2 linked regions of the Caenorhabditis elegans genome follow. The protein of the gene in region 1 purifies or fractionates together with the protein of each later gene. This does not show direct contact. Each region holds a gene or a part of one and is shown on either strand. Other genes may lie near its edges. The genes, in order: gfat-2 and cct-7.

Region 1 (4,852 bases):
AACGTGTAAATCCATAAATGGAAATCTGCCAACAGTTACTAGTTCAGTTGAAAATGGCGCATTTACATGTGAGTTTTATTACTAGATGAACTCAAACTATAAATACTTCCAGGGCTCGTTAATCTATATATTAAATTTTTCAAGTCAAGCTCGTTCTACGTTAGAATTGATGGTAAGAGAACAACGGCATGCCAATCAACACCAAAAACAGCTGCATGTATGTCCCCATCTGTAAGTTTTTCCATTTATTCATGCATTCTCTACTTTAAATTCTAGGGTTTCACATTCACTGATCCTCATTTCTTGGGTAATTTCAATTATTATAACTGGACAACAAATGCTGGTGCAAGGGTGGAAAGTGATGATGATTGTCTTGTTCTCGTATTCCCAAGCGTTGGAACTTCGTATGTTGATGTTCGAAGGTAATCTTCGAGTTTTTGAAATTGCTTGTATACACTTTAGTATTTTCAGTTGCACCATAAAAGGGAAATTGCAAGCGCTTGGACTGTTGTGTGTAAAAGATGCGTGGACTGCATGAAAATGGATCATACTTCTACATTTGTTAAGAATTTGTACAAATAATCTGAAGTTTTCTTCCAGAAACTGAAACAGTTGAAATAAATGTTATTATCCAGGTACTAATCTGTCAGTTTTCTCTCCATCTACCGTTTCAATATTAATATTTTTTCTAGTATTTAATGGGTATTCTGAGCTTTCTTGAAATTCCGTGTATAAGACTTGAACTGGAGCACAAACATTTATTTTCGTTTGCTTCGATCATGCAATAAATAAAAGGGAGCATTTTAGATGGGAAATTATCAAAATAGTAACATCATTTAACAGGAAAGACGAGAAAGGCGGTGAGTAGTCATTGAGCAAGGATGTGGTTGACGGATTGGCTTACTCAACAGTGACAGATTTTGCCAAATTGCGTGGTCGGTCCACCTGAAAAAAAAACGAATATTACATTTGCTTTTTGATAGAATGTGAAAACTTACGTTTGCTCCATTGAGCTCAGCAATGTGGTAGGAGAGAAGCTGCAGAGGAATGACCGTGAGGATGTTTTGAACACAGTCGACTGTTCTTGGGACACGGAGAACATGCTTCATTCCAGCGAGATCACTTTCCGGAACGCTGCTATCGGCAATAATGATCGGGGCTCCCTTTCGCGCAACAACTTGCTGAAGAGCATTCAACGACTTCTGAAAATATAAATTTGTTTAAAATAACTCAGTTGATAAAATTGTAACCTTGTAGACATGATCGTTGCATACTACCATGCAGATGCTGAGGAATTCATCGACCATTGCAAGAGGCCCATGCTTCAGTTCACCAGACATGATTCCTTCACAATGCATGTACGAGAGCTCTTTGATCTTGAGAGCTCCTTCGAGACACGTGGCAAAGTTCAATCCTCGTCCCATAATGAGAAGTGACTTATCTTTGTAGATTTGCTCAGCGATCTTCAGTACCTGATCGTCCAGATCGAGAACATCGCGGATCAGAATTGGAAGATTATTGAGAGCATCAATAATCTCTGCACGTCTCTTCATCTTCGAGATGCGATCTTCCGAGATGGTGAGTGCGAACAACAGAAGTGATACAATCTGCGAGGTGTAGGCCTTGGTTGAAGCAACTCCTATTTCCGGACCAGCGTTGATATGAATTCCACAGTGGGATTCGCGACCAATCGACGATCCGACTGTGTTGGTAACTCCAATTGTGAGAGCTCCACGAGGTTTGCAGTATCTCAAAGCCATCAGAGTATCAGCCGTCTCTCCACTCTGCGAGATGAACAAGCACACATCATTACGGAAGATTGGAGTCTCACGATCCAAGAAATCTGAAGCAAGTTCGACGACAACAGGCAGTTCCGACAATTCTTCGAGAACCTGACGGCAAGCAATTGCAGAGTGATATGATGTTCCACACGCAACCATGATGAGGCGACGGCATCGTTTGATAGCTGGAAGGTATTCCTTAAGTCCACCAAGAACAACTTGTCCCGATGGGAGAACACGTCCGCGCATTGTGTTGACAACTGATTCCGGTTGCTCGAAGATCTCCTTTTGCATGAAGGTCTTGTAAGATCCCTGGAAATAAAACAATTTAATACAATATTCTAATTTGGATATTCCACAAACCTTCATAATCTCTTGGATTTCCAACTCGAGAAGCTGAACTTCTCTCTTTTGTTCGCCGCTGTCAGCGTGGCGAGAGATGCGATGAATTGTGAGTGATCCATCTTCAACGAAGGCCACATCATCATCCTCAAGGAACAGAACTTGCTTGGTGTGTTCAATGATTGCAGCCGCATCCGAGGCGATGAAGTATTCAACTTCAAAATCGGTTGAGTCGAACGGACGTGTTGTGGAATTGTTGTCGGGCAGCTTTGCAGATCCACTGGGATTTCTGACAGCGATTGAAAGATCCAGAATGTTGTTTGGAGTCTCGACGAACGATGTCTCTTCGCGCACTGAGAACATTTTCGTTCAATTGAAAATAGAACCATTAAATAACTTACAATGCGTGGCGTTGTTCGACATAAAACAGCGTCCTTTCGAGTAAGAGACTGGGAAATGGCTAGTGTGAAGAGTTGAGTTGCTCTTGATACCAACCAACAGTGGAGATCCGCGTCTAGAAGCCACAAGTTGTCCTGGGAAACGCGATGACTTGAATGCCAAAGCGAAAGCTCCTTCCAACTGCTGGATAACCGTCTCAACTAACTGACGGAATGAAAAGTCGGGATAACGATCATGGACATGCTGTGTGAGCTTTGCGATGACTTCCGTATCCGTCTCAGACTCGAACTTGTGTCCCTTCTTCTCGAGATACTCCTTGATTTCGCGATAATTGGTAATGATACCATTATGAACCACAAGGAACTCGTTGTTGTCGTTGCTGCGATGTGGATGGGAATTAACATCACGTGGTGATCCGTGCGTAGCCCAACGAGTGTGTGCAATCCCGCAATGAATATTGTATTCCATATCCATGTTGAGCTTTTCATTGTTCTCCTTAATGTAGTCGTTGAGAACGGACACCTTTCCTCTCTTTCGGAGCAGAGCAATCTTCGAATGAGGATTTTCGATGTCGTTTGATCCGTCAATGGCGATACCGGCAGAGTCGTAACCTCTGTATTCCATTCTCTGCAATCCTTGAACCAAAATGTCCACAATTTCCGACCGCTTCTTCGGAGCCAGGAAATTGAGGTAGGCAAAGATTCCGCACATTTCGGGAGGGTTAGTTTGTTGAGGCTACCTGTAAAACAAAATTAAGCGTCGAAGGAATTTTATGAGATCCATGAAAACACACAGGACAAACAAAATCAACTTTTAAAAATAAGAAAATGAAGTCAAGTGGAAAAAAACTCACCTTTATAGTCATTTTTCCATCGTTTTTCCGCCAAAAGCCTCAAATGAAATAGGGCAATTTGAGAATCGTTACGAGATCAAAGTTGGAAACATCATGCGCCTTTGAACTACGGTAGACAACATATCAGGTCTGGAACCTAAAATGCTGATTTATATAATATTTATATAAACATCGTGAAAATTAATTCTATAGAAGAATATTCTTAAAGTGTATTAATTGTAAATAAGCCACAATAAGGATTTTTTCTGATACAGCAAAAATGTCAGAAAAATAGGTTCAACAAGTAAATCAGTTCAGAAGACGAAAGCAAAGTGTTATAATCAGGAGTGTAACTTTTGCAAAGGATTTTTTTTTTAATTTATTCATCATGGAAACAAAAAGAATATGATAAGAAAAACATAACCGGTTATGATATTTACACGTGTAGATGAATAAATTAAAATAAACTCGGCCCGACAGAGCGCGAGTTTAAGTGAGGGGGAAAGAGATCAGAATTTAGATATTTGACAATTAACAAGCGAAAGGAATTGTGATGGGGAGAGGAAAAAGCTAGAGTTGCGTACAATGCTATTCCATATTGGCACTACTTGGGAGAAAAAACTACGACATTTGGGATTTTTAATTTTAATGAGCATCGGACGACGAGACGAGTTAGCAAGCGTAACAAAGTCGCTGCTTTTAGGGAAGTGCGCTGCGCCGGTAAGAATTTTGTATAGAAGCAATAGTTGGGCTCTTAGGCGGAGAGAGCGGGCTGATGAAATTCCTAGAATTTTTAGTCGGTTTTCGTAGGATTTGGAGAAAGCATTGTGTGTTTGTGTAGCATTTTTTATTTTGTATTTAATATTGCAGCGCTGTAGGACCCGTTTAGAAAAGTATTTGAGGGGAGATTCTAGTGTGCTTGATAATTTAGATGTTGGTGGAGGGGAGTATATGACTGATCCGTATTCAAGGATAGGGGAAACGTAGGTCTTGTACATACTTATATAGAATTTAGGGGAAGAAGAGGAGAAACATTTGAGGATTTGTTTAGCGCGTAAGAGGGCAAGAGAAGTGGCTCTGTTTATATGGGGTTGAAACGTTAACTTGGAGTCAGTGTAGAGACCAAGGTCGCGCACTGAGTTGGTGGGGGAAACTGTGATGTTGTCAACGGTGTAAACATTTTTAGAATTCTTTTTGCCTAACTGAAGAAGGGCGGTTTTAGCAGGGGCAAGCGGGAGTTGGTTATCTTTTGACCAATTAGCAATTAAGTCTATGGCTGCTTGTAATTCAGAAGGGCTGTGACCAAATAATTTAATATCGTCCGCAAAACATGAGAAATGGACGGTAGGAGGGATTGAGTGTAGTAGATCATTGATGAACAGGATAAAAAGAAGTGGACCCGATACAGTTCCCTGGGGAACGCCAGAGGGTACAGAGTATTTTTGGGTTGAGGTTATACTGTTTACTTTAAGGGAAAATGATCTGTTTGTGAGAAAGG
Region 2 (5,929 bases), on another chromosome or scaffold:
AGAGGAAGAGGAAGCGCTCGCTCGCCGGGAGGAAATCAAGCAGGGCTTCGAGCGAATCGATGCTCTAATGAGCAAAATCAAGCCGATTCCAATTTTTGAATTCTGATTTCTGATTTCTCACGCTCTGTATAATATTCTATTTCTGACACAATTGATTTCATAAATACATGTATAATATTTTATTCATAGCCTAGGTCTTGCTTATTAAGTGTCAATTTCATTACGTGTACTTTAATTATTGGTTTTGAGTATCTGAAGTTGAGATCCTAGCTGCTTTGGTCCTTTATAAATATATGTTTCTTTAATTTGAGTTGCTATCGCTATCGAAGGTCGTCCTCTTCCTCCTCATTTGCATGTTTTTCTAGCTTCTTCCCCATTAGTTTCCCGCTGACTCCACCGTCGACGAGGTTCTCGAAAACCACGTCGCCATTGTTTCGAAAACAGGAAAATGGCATTTCGCGAAGTGTTGTGAGACCACACTGGAATTTTATTAGTTTTTGAAGCTTTTAGATCGAAAATTCATCGAGGCACCACGGATTCAAGTGCCAACGCAAAGAAACGGGCCAGATCCGATATCCCACCGGTTCTAGATTTCGTGGTGCCTCAATTGGTCTTGCCACGTGGTCAAAGGTCTCGCCACGCTTCCGATGTGGTGTGTGTGCCTTTAAACACGGGTACTGTATTTTTTATAGGTTTTCTGACTTTTCGCTCTATTTTTTTCGTAAAAAGCGGAAATTTTATTGAATAAGAAACTACTATCCTTGCTGAAAATATTCTGAGAAGCCACAGCAGTTGCAACGGTTGCCACGTACTCGCAATCTTCCTTCACAGCATTTTCCAGACTCTTCTCGACGAGCTGTCTTCCGATTCCCTTCCTAAATTGAGCACAATTCCCTAGGAGAACAAGAAAAAAAAAGAAGAAAATTGCTTCCTACCCTTGACAAGCCTTCGACACGCACAGCACATCGATTTTGAAGACTTTTTTCGGATTTCCAGTCAAAAACGACAAGTCTTGCTCCAAAACCTGCACGAATGCCACCAACTTGTTGGCATTTTCGTGTTTGTACTGGCCATTTGTGATTTCTGCGTTAAAATCCCAGTGTGGATTGAATGGGGTCGATTCGGAAACAAAAGAGCATTCTTTGACGGCATTCAGGCAAACTGCCACGATTTCCTGAACACTTTTTTTTCTAGAATTTGCGGGAAGCTAGATTAAATCTGAAAAACAAAAAACAAAAACCTACTTCCCCATCAAAAACCAGAATTGAACTTTTCTCATCTTCCAACCCGCTCATCGTCAAATCAACGAAAAACTCGGCGACATCTTCTTCCGAGCAGCTCAATGAAGTTGTGATGGGCTCCATTACTCTAAAATGCTCCACCAGGAACTTGTGAACTTGGTCCTTGTGCTCCAGGAGCCCAGTTTGGAATGTGAGCTCCGGCATTTGCAGAAAAAAGCGAATAAAAATAAAATAAAAGAAAGCAAAAGTGAAAGACTATTCCTCGAGAGCTCTGTGAGCCCTCACTTTTTCTCTGAACCTCCGAGACAACACGCGTTACATTTGCATTTTCACCACACATATTTCCCATGCTTCCAAGTATTGACATTTTCCTTTTCCTGCTTTTCTACTTCTCCCCTTCCTCACCGAAGTGTCTACTCGACGATTATGGAGCTTCTGAGAGCTCTGCTTTGCAATATTCTCAATGGAGCGCATTTGTGGCTGGTGGCCGTGGCCGCGAGCCGCGACGCAAGCACGCGCCGCTCCTGGGAATTGTTTCGAGAAGGAATATTTTCGTCGGACTATTTCTCGATTTTCATCTGGATCTTTGTGAATTTTCCAGATTTTCTTCATTAATATAATACTTCTAGACTTTCTACACATTTTAACATCAAAATCTTCGAATTTTGTCTTCTCTGCCCTCGTTTTAATCGCTCTTAATATTTCAAAATATTATACTCGTGCTTTAAAAATTAATAATTCAAATTCAGAGCAAGATGATGCGCCCACCAATTATCCTGCTCAAGGACGGAACTGAGAACAAGCAGGGAAAGGGTCAGATCATTTCCAACATCAACGCTTGTCAAGTTAGCTTCTAAAATTCTAAAATTTAGTCAAAAATGCCTAAAATGCTGTATTTTTCAGGTTGTCGCCGACAGTATCCGTACCACCTTGGGTCCACGTGGCCTCGACAAGCTCATCGTCGATAGCAAGGGAGCCACGACGATCTCCAACGATGGAGCCACAATTCTGAAGCTTTTGGATATTGTCTTCCCGGCCGCCTCCACAATGGTTGATATCGCTCGTTCTCAAGACGCTGAAGTCGGAGACGGAACCACGTCTGTCGTCGTTTTGGCCGCCGAAATTCTGAAGCAAATGAAGCCATTCATCGAGGACGGTGTCCATCCACAACTTCTCATTCGCGCCATCGGAAAAGCTTGCGAGAAGACGCTGAAGAACTTGGCTGATTTGGAAATCAAAATTAATGGCGAGACGGAGCTCCGTGAGATGCTTGTGAAGTGTGCTGCAACCACGTTGAGCAGCAAGCTCGTCAGTCAAGAACGGCTTTTCTTCGCCAATATGATTGTCGATGCTGTGAACACGTTGGATGCTCATCTTCCATTGAACATGATCGGAATCAAGAAGGTCAACGGAGGAAATTTGCACGTTAGTGAATCGAAAAGTCGTCTATCACGCGGTGTTTTGTCTTTCCACTGAAAATTGCAGATTTTTCAGCTTAAAAATGTTTTTCTCTGCATTTTACTAACAAAGCAGCTTTTTTAAACAGTGAAAATCGAATTTAAAATGACTAAAATGAACTTTTTTCGTCCACTGGTTGAGGAATGGTTAGAAATTGAAAAAATCAACGGGATTTTTCTTATTTTTTAAATATTTTTCCATTAAAAATCGATTTTAAACCATTTTGACCCTAATGTTAAGTCACAAATGGTTTAAAACCGATTTTTAATAGGACAATATTTAGAAAATATGAAAAATCCCGTTGATTTTTTTTTCAATTTAAAATCATTCCTCAACCATTGGACGAAAAATGTTCATTCTAGTCATTTTAAACTCGATTTTCACTGTTTACCAAAAGCTTTGTTAGTAAAATGCAGGAAAAACATTTGTTAAGCTGAAAAATCCGCATATTTTCAGTGGAAAGGCGAAATACCTCTATTTTAATTAATTAATATTTATTTTTAATTTAATTTTAAAAATTTCAGGAATCCCGTCTCATCAAAGGAGTTGCCTTCCAAAAAGCGTTCAGTTATGCTGGCTTCGAAATGCAGCCAAAGAAGTACTCCAATGTCAAAGTGGCTCTTCTTAACATTGAGCTGGAGCTCAAGGCAGAGAAAGAGAACGCTGAGATGCGTCTGACCAACGTTTCCGACTTCCAAGCTGTCGTTGACGCTGAGTGGAATATTCTTTACGATAAGCTTCAGAAGATTCACGATTCCGGCGCCAACGTGGTTCTCTCGAAACTTCCAATCGGAGATGTTGCTACCCAATGGTTCGCCGATCGTGACATGTTCTGTGCTGGACGAATTCCACAGGACGATCTTGATCGCTTGATGTCCGCATGCGGAGGAAGCGTTCTCACCACAGTCTCTCAAATCGACGACTCTGTCCTCGGAAAGTGCGGAAAATTCTACGAGCAACAAGTCGGAAGCGAGCGTTACAACTTCTTCGAGGACTGCTCAAAAGCTCAGGCATGTACGCTTCTTCTTCGCGGTGGAGCCGAGCAGTTCATCGCCGAGACCGAACGATCTCTTCACGACGCTATCATGATTGTTCGTCGTGCCAAGAAGAACGATTCGATCGTCGCCGGAGGAGGTGCCATCGAGATGGAGTTGAGCCGATTGATTCGTGAGCATTCGAAGGGTATTGAGGGCAAGGATCAAGCTTTCTGGATGGCTTATGGACAGGCTTTCGAGGTAGATATTGAAGAAACTGGTGCTAGTATAAATATGCAGAAATGAACGATTTTCGTGATGAGACAGTTCAAAATCTCGAAAAACTGGATTTTTTTGCTAAAATCTTTAATTTCTCCAACTTTTCCGTTTTCCAGTTGCTGGAAATTAAATTTTATTCGATTATCGATCTTTATTGCAGGTTTTTATCGTTTTTCTTCAGTTTTTTGTTGGCTTAGGCAGCCCTCAAGCTGTAAGGCTGCCTATTGACTCTAAATTTGCCTTAAACGAAGAAAAAACGACCAGAATATGCAATTTAATCGCATAAAAGTAAATTTTCAGCCGTTTTGATACGGAAAAGTTGGCAAAATATATGATTTTTGCGAAAACTGACCTTTTTTCAAGATTTTAAACAATTTCTGTTAACTTTCAGACCTATTTTGAGCTTAACTTAAAATGTGCCGAAATGAAGGAATTTTGAAAGTTCAAAATCTTGAAAACCTGGCTATTTTTAGTCAAAACCCCGAAAATTGCAGGTTTTCGTCGTTTTTCTCCCGTTTTTTAGGTTAGTTAAGGCAGATTTCAAGCTGTAAGTAATAAACCAACTAAAACATAACATTTTTTAAAGAAAAAATTCTTTGTATTTTTGAGTCGAAGAAACCAAAAAATCCATTTTTTTCACCAAAAACACCCAAAAAAAAAGCTAATTTCCGAAATTTTTCAGATCATCCCACGCCAGCTTTGCCAAAACGCCGGACTCGATGCTCTCGACGTGCTGAACAAGCTGAGACATCGTCATGCTCAAGGCGAGAAATGGGCCGGAATCGACATCCATCGTGAAGCCGTCGGAGATAATCTTGTCGCATGTGTCTGGGAGCCGAGCATCGTGAAGAGGAACGCCATCACAGCTGCCACCGAAGCCGCGTGCCTCGTTCTTTCGATCGATCAAACGGTGAAGAATGTTCGTACACCATCTGGAGGAGCAATGCCAGGACTTCCCGGGCAATAAGGAGATCAATGTGCCCCTCTGTGCATTCGCTGCTTTCTTTTGCTGTATTCAAATATTCAAATTTTGCGCAATTTTTTTTTAATTTTCTTCATAATTTTTGTTTGTTTTCTATCATTTTCATTAAACCTTTTGTTATGATCCCCCGTCTCTCTCTCTCTCTCAAACGTTCTCATCATAGCTTCTTGCAAAAAACTTTAAATTTTTTCTCAATTTTTCTTTTTCCCACCGATTTATTGTCCACCACCCGCTTGTTTTCTCTACCGCTCCCCGTCGTTTTCGTTTTGAATTTTCTGTTTGAATAAGTGCACTTTGAAAAAATTTTAATTTCAGTATTTCAAAAAAAAAGAACCATTAGAAAGAAGGTCAAACCTTACCGGAAAAAGCAGAAAAAGCGGAGAAGTTAGGTGATGGGGGTGGATACCGGCTTCAAAGTTGGGGGGTGGTGGGTGGGGATTAAGATGCATATAAAATGTCGCAAAAACACCTACTTTTACATATAAATCGGGGAGAAAAGTGAAATTTCTTGAATTTTGAGGAGTCACCACGGATTCAAGATCTATGAGAACGAGATCTCTGAAAATCGAGGCAACAATGCTCCGATTATACGCATCGCGCGCGTTGTTTAGCGTGTTGAGAATTTTTTTTTTGTCCTTTTTTTTGAAAGAAAAATTTCTGGAAAACGATAAACAACGCGCACGACAAGCGTAATATCGGAGCATCGTAAAAATGGTAGATCACAGAATCCCACAGGATCTTGACACCGTGGTGCCTCGAAAAAAGATTAAAGGAACATATAAGTGTGGGTGGCAGTGAGGGATATCGGGGGGTAATTGGTGGAGCTTTTGAGCATTACAAAATTATGAAAAAATTACGAAACAAAAAGTGGTGACAGGATGTCCCACAACGGTGGTTTGATCAACAAAAAAATGCGGGAACTTTTTTCACAGAAATTAATATTTCCTAAATTCCCGCGATTTTCGGAGATCAAAACGACATGGGACATTCTGAAA

The links.
Region 2: the proteins of gfat-2 (region 1) and cct-7 fractionate together in Caenorhabditis elegans (co-fractionation; one large-scale study listed by BioGRID). This does not show direct contact.

The regions. Positions count from the first base shown.
Region 1 is NC_003282.8:11,408,894-11,413,745, reverse strand, and holds gfat-2 (glutamine--fructose-6-phosphate transaminase (isomerizing)), read right to left. Parts: upstream 3,262-4,852; 5' UTR 3,234-3,261; coding exon 2,525-3,233; intron 2,477-2,524; coding exon 2,145-2,476; intron 2,094-2,144; coding exon 1,251-2,093; intron 1,203-1,250; coding exon 999-1,202; intron 946-998; coding exon 901-945; 3' UTR 745-900; downstream 1-744. Other genes in the region: F22B3.10 (PAN-3 domain-containing protein), read left to right, coding at 1-68, 113-231, 277-422, 472-538.
Region 2 is NC_003283.11:1,870,256-1,876,184, forward strand, and holds cct-7 (T-complex protein 1 subunit eta), read left to right. Parts: upstream 1-1,990; 5' UTR 1,991-1,996; coding exon 1,997-2,086; intron 2,087-2,144; coding exon 2,145-2,666; intron 2,667-3,223; coding exon 3,224-3,934; coding exon of another isoform or gene 3,935-3,979; exon of another isoform or gene 3,980-4,248; intron 4,249-4,634; coding exon 4,635-4,919; 3' UTR 4,920-5,250; downstream 5,251-5,929. Other genes in the region: knl-3 (Kinetochore NuLl), read left to right, coding at 1-106; T10B5.4 (aralkylamine N-acetyltransferase), read right to left, coding at 321-479, 761-875, 936-1,174, 1,245-1,445.